Linked DNA regions of Bombyx mori. The protein of the gene in region 1 interacts with the protein of each later gene in a biochemical or structural test. Links are inferred from orthologs where the notes say so. Each region holds a gene or a part of one and is shown on either strand. Other genes may lie near its edges.

Evidence for each region.
Region 2: the proteins of PLCg (region 1) and actin nucleation-promoting factor WASL form a complex in vitro, tested with the Homo sapiens proteins (2 studies listed by BioGRID). The link is inferred for Bombyx mori from reciprocal best matches to the Homo sapiens genes PLCG1 and WAS.

What each region holds. Positions count from the first base shown.
Region 1 is NC_085107.1:5,694,027-5,697,861, reverse strand, and holds part of PLCg (phospholipase C gamma), read left to right. Parts: coding exon 1-45; intron 46-499; coding exon 500-565; intron 566-3,551; coding exon 3,552-3,746; intron 3,747-3,835. UniProt on the Homo sapiens protein: Mediates the production of the second messenger molecules diacylglycerol (DAG) and inositol 1,4,5-trisphosphate (IP3). Plays an important role in the regulation of intracellular signaling cascades.
Region 2 is NC_085121.1:15,502,514-15,506,348, forward strand, and holds part of actin nucleation-promoting factor WASL, read left to right. Parts: intron 1-2,156; coding exon 2,157-2,291; intron 2,292-3,197; coding exon 3,198-3,317; intron 3,318-3,835. UniProt on the Homo sapiens protein: Effector protein for Rho-type GTPases that regulates actin filament reorganization via its interaction with the Arp2/3 complex. Important for efficient actin polymerization. Possible regulator of lymphocyte and platelet function.

The DNA.
Region 1 (3,835 bases):
CTCTGGTATCCGATCAGCGAAGAAACCGTCAGAAGACTTGTCTCTGTAAGTGACGAGCTAACTACGTACAATAACTATATATTGCATAGATGGGTGGACGAGCTTACAGCCCACGTGGTGATAAGTGGCTAATGCCATCTTGAGACATGAGTTCAGTTTCTGTTCGGTCTCAGTTTGTACAGTGCAACGGCTGCCTCAGTTTTGAAACCGAAACGCATTACTGCATCACGGTAGAAATAGGCAGGGCGGTGGTGGTACCCACCCGTGCGGACTCACGAGACTTCCTACCACTATTAATTGGGCGAATTATTATTTTTCTGGTTTGATTTTTACTATATTCATTCACCGTGAAAGTTCACCGTGAACAATGTTAAATTATACCATGTGCGTGAAATGAAACGATTTTTGTAGCTTGAGGCCTGTATTTATTTATATTCCAATCAAAATCAATAGCTTACGTTATTTGCGAAGATGTCATATTATGTATGTTAATTTTAAGGAACCAGACGATAATACTGTCTATGGGACACCGGGATACATGGATCCCACGTCATTCACGTCCAAGGTACGTATTGCATATATTAAAACATATCGTATTCATACGTAAGATCATAAATCCATAATAATAATATTATAAATGCGAAAGAGAGTTTGTTTGTTGTACACTTTGTCACTACTCAATCTATCATCGTGAATGCAAAAGTATGCAAAGTTTCATTACATTCCATGTACAGAAAAAGACAGAGGACCTTTCATCCAGTAAAAAATATATTATACTAGTAATAGTGCTATACTAGTAGTAAGGATAGATCTTACTACATTAATGTGAATGAAACCGCTTGTAAATACTAGTATTATACACGACTTCAAAATGTTTGCATCGTCATCCAACACGGATTCACTTTCGTTTTTTTTTAAATTAAAATACCTTTAACTGTGTAATCCTGTTGCTATGGAAATGAAAAAAAAATGTGTAACAAATAAAATGCACATTTGTGTCTATTATAAAAATACGTACGTACAGGGTGTATTGGAAAGACGAAGACGAGAACAAGATTAATTATTCCGGCACTAGACCACCAAAAAGTATTTATTGCCTTAGTGTTGGACCAAGGTATAACTAGCGTAATGACAGCTACGACTATCATAATGGATTTTTCGTTGCAAGTTTCGAAGCGTTTCAAAATCCCTTCGTTTCTGTGTTTGTTAGGCAACGAAAAGTCATTTTTTTTTGAGCCCTGGACCGAACCTCAGATTACGAAGCAGACAGACTTTGAAAATATAATTCTATATTTTATAAATATAATTAGAATTTATTGCCAGGCATACATAATCTTTCAAATGGACGGTTTTATAAAATGGCATTTCATAGCTAAAAACTTATTATAATAAAACTCGACCTAAATGGAAAATTGAAAAAAAAAAAAAAACTTTATTTTGGGCATCAAGGTCACGATTTAACGCCAAAAAAATAATAACATTATTGTGTGTAAATTATTCAAGTTAATCCGTCTTCTATAGTTAGATACATGTCAAGCTAACAAAAACGTCATTAAATGCTTTTTTCGTTGTACGTAATTTAACATAAAATATGCTGAAATCGGTATCGATGTTTTTGAGACAACACGGAAGTATGCCCAATAGTTGTCTTCGTTTCAACGTCAAGGGCTTGTGCTTGGTTTGGTTTTGAGATTGATCCTCTAATTTGATACACTATAAAATAATTTTAAAATAAAGAAAAGGCTATTTTTCATTTCATATGTAGCTTAGTAATTAGTACTAATAATTACTAGTAGTATTAGTATTAGAAAAAAAACTCGCTATATAAAGCTATGGGAGGAGAGATTTATGTCCTGCACTAAACGCCTGGCAGGCGATACGGATAGCTAAACAAGGATGGTACTAATAAAAACCTGTAATTAAAAATAATATATATTATATTAATCAATTAACTAACACCAAAATTATTTGCAGAACTGTAAATGAAAAATATATATCGGATTATATATACATATATAGGTGAGACTGTAAAAAACGCATTAGGCACAGATAACACTTTCTTCGTGACAAATAGAATATTATAGTAGTTCTTTTTTTAAATTCAAAATCCAACATTTTATCGATGTTTATTTTGTATTTTATATGCTTTATTAGCGTAAGCGTCTTAAGAATTAGTATACTTTTCGTTAAATGATTATTGCTATGTAATTGTTATTAGGTTAGTACTTATACGTAAAATTAAAAATTATCTAGCATGAAGTAGTTATTCTGTTATTTTAACGGCATACTATAATAACTTCTTTTACATAAAAACTTCTCCCTAACCTGTGCAGCGATATGTAATGTGGTATATATAGCTTTTCCTAAGAAGCTGGGTAGATAGTTAATCGATTATAATATGTCAATCGTTAATTTTTTTTTGTAGTGCATTTATTCTCTATTCTTGATTTTAAAACATAACTCGCTCGCTTTGTAATAAATAGTTGTGGAAAATGTAACGATCAACATGATTGTTTTGGTAATTTTAACATTTATTCGATCGTGTTTAATTTTTGTATTAAAAATATTTAAAAATTGAGCTCTGGCCTCACTTGGTTTTAAGTGGCTATCAAAACTCATAGAAATGACAACGTCAAAGTCGCTGCTCACCATAAGACACTGAAGAGATCTCCATTTTATTGTATAATGACCCATATGTAGATGCGATCCTTTCGACCGGAAAGCAGGTCAGGTTCGGAACCGGAATTGACAGGTGATATATATCTGTGCGGCTTTAAAATACTCCCTACCCCACGTAAAAGTATGTACTTCCAGTAGTGGGCATTTCAGGGTATCGTACTACGATCAAAGCAAAATTAACGGAACTCTACAACTCGTGTTAAAATTCCATTTTAAAGTTATAAATTTAATGTTTCTGCAAATTGATAGGTTAAATGTAAGACAGCACTCTTCGATGTAAAAATAAATATGAAACATTCATTTACATTGATAGCTCTTGCTGTCTACCGTCCCGACGAACGATACGCGAATACATAGAAGACGAACATACAAACATTAATTTATAATTTTCTAGCATTTTACCTGTAGATTTAAACTGGGTTTTAGGAGACCGCTTTGGAAAACGAAAATTATGTACCTACAAAGTTGTAAATTTTATGGAGCCCGGTATAAGTGCCGCGCTCTCGCCGCGCCCGGACGTTCGTTGATCCGAGCATCAGCTGTTTTTGATTTTGTGTTTCATTGCTGGTTTTTTTCAAAGAAAAGTGATGTATTTTTTTTATGAAACAATCGTTTCATTTAGCTGTACTAACATGATGGAGCGTAAACAATGCTAATAAAACGTTTTAAAAATATGATTTCTTTAATCAGGATCGATTTTTTTTTCCGTCCCGTCATCAAAGGTGTCATTAGTTAGTACTATCGCCTGTTTTCGTTTTCGGAAGCGATCTCCTAACACCCAGTATAATATTATGTATTATGATATGACGAAATACATTTTGCAACAAATTCAGATTTGTTTGCGTTACAGAATAATATGAAAACGATTTCAGGTGACCGTTAAAGCGCTTTACGATTATCGGGCTCGTCAAGATGACGAGTTGTCCTTCTGCAAGCACGCCATCATTACAAACGTCGACAAGCCGGACGAGGGCTGGTGGCGGGGCGACTACGGCGGCAAACGTCATCACTGGTTCCCGGCCAACTACGTGCTTGAGATTGAGGTTCCACACACACCCGACGTGACCGTTAGTATTCTTTTTGTATACAATACGCAGAGGATGTTACGGAACACAGGTACGAGAGCGGCCTGTTCGAACTTCTATCTATCCTCGAC
Region 2 (3,835 bases), on another chromosome or scaffold:
CTCAGAGATCGTGGTCAATGAATGATAAAAAATGTTATTTTTGTACGTTATTACAAAGTTAAGTCGTACACTGTGTGGATTACTAATAAAAATCTTACGTTACGGACGTTTTTTCCCGGTTAGGGTACTCCTCCGCATCGTCCCATAAGGAACTTCGTTCCAAAAAACTTATTGTCTCAGGTCTTCGTTTAGTGTGGTCACACTGCACGTGACGTCACAAGACGAGCGCATTTACCGATATCACGTTTGTCATTGTTGTGCGTGCATTGTTTATTAAAAGACTCCTCATTGTACTTGTCGGATTTAAGTACGTCTATATTTATTTGTAAATACACCGTTCGTAATATTTGTATCATGTCATACATTGTCTCACAATACAGGTGATATGTTATAACACAATTTAAAGTAAAAATATTATACTATAATTGAATCAAATGGTCGAGGCTTCGGTAGGCAGCGGTTTGGCTCTACCGTCCGTGAGCGACGGTAACCACTCACCACCAGGCGGGCCGTATGCTCGTCCGCCGCCTACAAGGGCAAATAAAAATAAAAGTGAATTATTAAATAACAAATTTGATATAGGAGAGATGGACTCTACCCCGCTTTGAACTTGGCGTTGCTAGTTTTACAATGAATACGTACCTTCCGAAGTTGTTTACGGAGAAGTAGTAGAAGAGAGAAAAGTATTTATTTCCGACCGAGGAATTGTTTGAGATGATGTCGTCATCTCTTTTATAATTGCATCATCTGACACCGAAATAAGAGTTCATACCGTCCACTTGGAATTGCTGCGTTCATCGACAGTGCGTTTTGCGATGTAGCAACGGGTTTTTTTTGTGAAGGAAGGTATACTGGTGGCCTGGAGGCTTTTCCGTTTTTGTTTAATATTTATTTTATTGCTTAGATGGGTGGACGAGCTCACAGCCTACCTGGTGTTAAGTGGTTACTGGAGCCCATAGACATCTACAACGGCTGCCCTACCCTTCAGACCGAAACGCATTACTGCTTCACGGCAGAAACAGGCAGGGCGGTGGTACCTACCCGCGCGGACTCATAAGAGGTCCTACAACCAGTAAAAAACTTTCTAACACTCCGCCCGAGCGCCTCCGGAGGAGACCTAACAACTCAAGAGCAGCTTTACAAATGAAACCATGTAGTTCTGGAATGAACGCTCGGCTCTTATAACTGAGCGCTATGATATGTCTTTCTCTAAACCAAGCTCGAAAATAGTCTTCAGTCGTAGGTAGCGACTTGGCTGTATAATGCTAATGTCCATCAGAGACGATAAAATGATAAGAGAAGATAGCTCGCCTGTATATGAAGGCCATAAAACACACACACAATACAAATAAATAAGGTTTTCTTATATTTTATTTATCTTTGACTTTGACAGATCTGACGAACTTTGTTCCGTCTTAGAGGCAATAAATGAGCAGACTTGATTTTATCAGGTCAATTTTTTATTTGGATAATTAGTGTAAATTAAAAAAGCAAGTATTTTAATGATTCTTTATTGTTAATGTATTTTAGTTATTATTGTTATATTTTTATTTCTTGTTTCTTCTTTAGTCGCTTCACTCGCAATGTTTCGAATACTAGTTGCATTACGGCTTCGTCGGGAAAGATTTGATCGTGTTGGTCGCGGTATGGCTTTCTTAATGATTACTTGTCTCAGCACAATAAGCTAATAGAAACTGGAAACGAACACATCGACCGGTCAACTTCAAAATTCTACTATAATTAACCATAGACTACATTACGTTTAGCTGTCAGTTGCGTTTTGTTATTCCATATCAGTTGCGTTTTGTTATACCACGTTTTACGTCACGTACCACGGAAACGTGATAAAAGGTATCCTTGTCCTGGTTGTAAGCTACCTCCCCACCAATTTTCAGCCAAATCAGTTCAGCCGTTCTTTAGTTATAAATAGTGTAACTAACACGACTTTCTTTTATATATATAGATTTTGAGTAATCTTCGGAATAGCGACTAGAAATAACATTTTAGTGTTTTAGAAGCTTGAAAAAGTAAAAATTCAGAGATGTGAAGGAAATAGTTTCCACTTAGTACCCGTGATTGTTCTCGTGTGTTGTTGGTTGTTTGCTTTCGTAAGCCAGGATGTAAATAACGTATAAAAAACCATTCGTATTTTTCAGAAAGGAGGCAACGTGCCTTAACGGCGGCACGGGCCAGTAGCGTGGTGGAGCCGAGACAAAATGGCGTCCTACCCCCGCTCCCGGCACCGGAACCGGAACCTGCACCCGTACTCCCACCGAAAACGAATTTAGCAGGTGAAAACTACTTATAATATTATATTCCTATATTCATGATCATCTGATGTAAAGTAATGCCGACTTTTTAGCGAGGCGGGGGGAGGCGATCTTCACGCATTTCGCGTCCAAGGGGCGCGCGGGGTATGTGGGTCTTGACGGTACGCAGATTTCGGGAACAGATCGCGAGCCTACGATGTTTTTAAAGTCCTACCCACCAAACTACTCCCTTTGCACCCTCTCACGGCATGTCCGATCTTTACTCGAGCTCAGAACCCGGGCAGAGTGGTTCCCGTGGTCAACACTACAACTAGACTCGCTGCGCCACTACTAGGACGCCCGACGGACGACGGCCCGTCCCGTCGCCCGGGCGCCCGGGCGGTACCTCTGGTGCTCCGGGATACCGCACTGAAGATCCCAAGACTAAGACCCCAAGAAAAGGGCGACCTAAGTAAAGGGATTTTTTCGCTGCTATGTTGTGTGTTGTGTTAGATCAATGGCATTCTATGACATTCTAAGAAAGAAAGAAAGAAATCATTTATTCGCTAAGCATAGTGGTGGTTTTATACTTGTGATAGGACCTCTTGTGAGTCCGCACGGGTAGTTACCAACACCCTGCCTATTTCTGCCGTGAAGCAGTAATGCGTGTCGGTGTAAGGGGGGGGCAGCCGTTGTAACTATAACTGAGACCTTAGAACTTATATCTCAAGGTGGGTGGCGCATTTACGATGTAGATGTCTATGGGCTCCGGTAACCACTCAACGCCAGGTGGGCTGGGTCCACCATCTAAGCAATAAAAAAATAATGAGTTATTACATAAGTTAAAAGCAGCGTGTATGCTTTGTCATTATTTGACATGCGAATTTTAGTGCAACATCTACAATATGTATCAGAGAGTATGTGTAATAACTTGTAATGATCGCCCAGGTACGTACACACTGAAGAGCTCCGGAAAACGGAAAACGACAAGGAAATTGACTAAAGCCGACATCGGGATGCCTCACAACTTCACGCACGTTTCTCACATCGGATGGGATAAAGATAAAGGTGCGTGGATCTTTTCTTTTTCTCCTTTTTTTTTTAGGTATGGCAATTGGCTTCTTGCGACGCCATTGTTGCCAGTGTCGAGTTCATAAAAATCTTCAATTGTAAAATACATACTAATATTCTGTTATATGAAGTAAAATAGGATGAAGTTAATTGATTTGACTATTTAATCGATTGGGATAAAATTAAATGAAACAAAATTTTATTGTGTGCTTAGTGCGAGTTTTTTAACGCTCTCGATAGCATAAAAGTTAACTTTTTGTATGCAGTTATAACAGCGCCCCTAGCGGCAAACGTAGGCAAACGTTCTGTTATGGGAATTTACTCTGAGGTCGTTTTAAAAAAAGGAAACTTTTAAGATTCGAACTATTTTATTTTATTTATACAATATGGATGATATACGTAATTCTCAGAGTAACCGCGAGAGCCGCACCCGTACTCTAAGACAGTTCACTCTCTACTGACTGTTCTCCGGTCTCCTTTAAAGTCTCTACCTCGAACCGTCTAGTCAGCGGTTT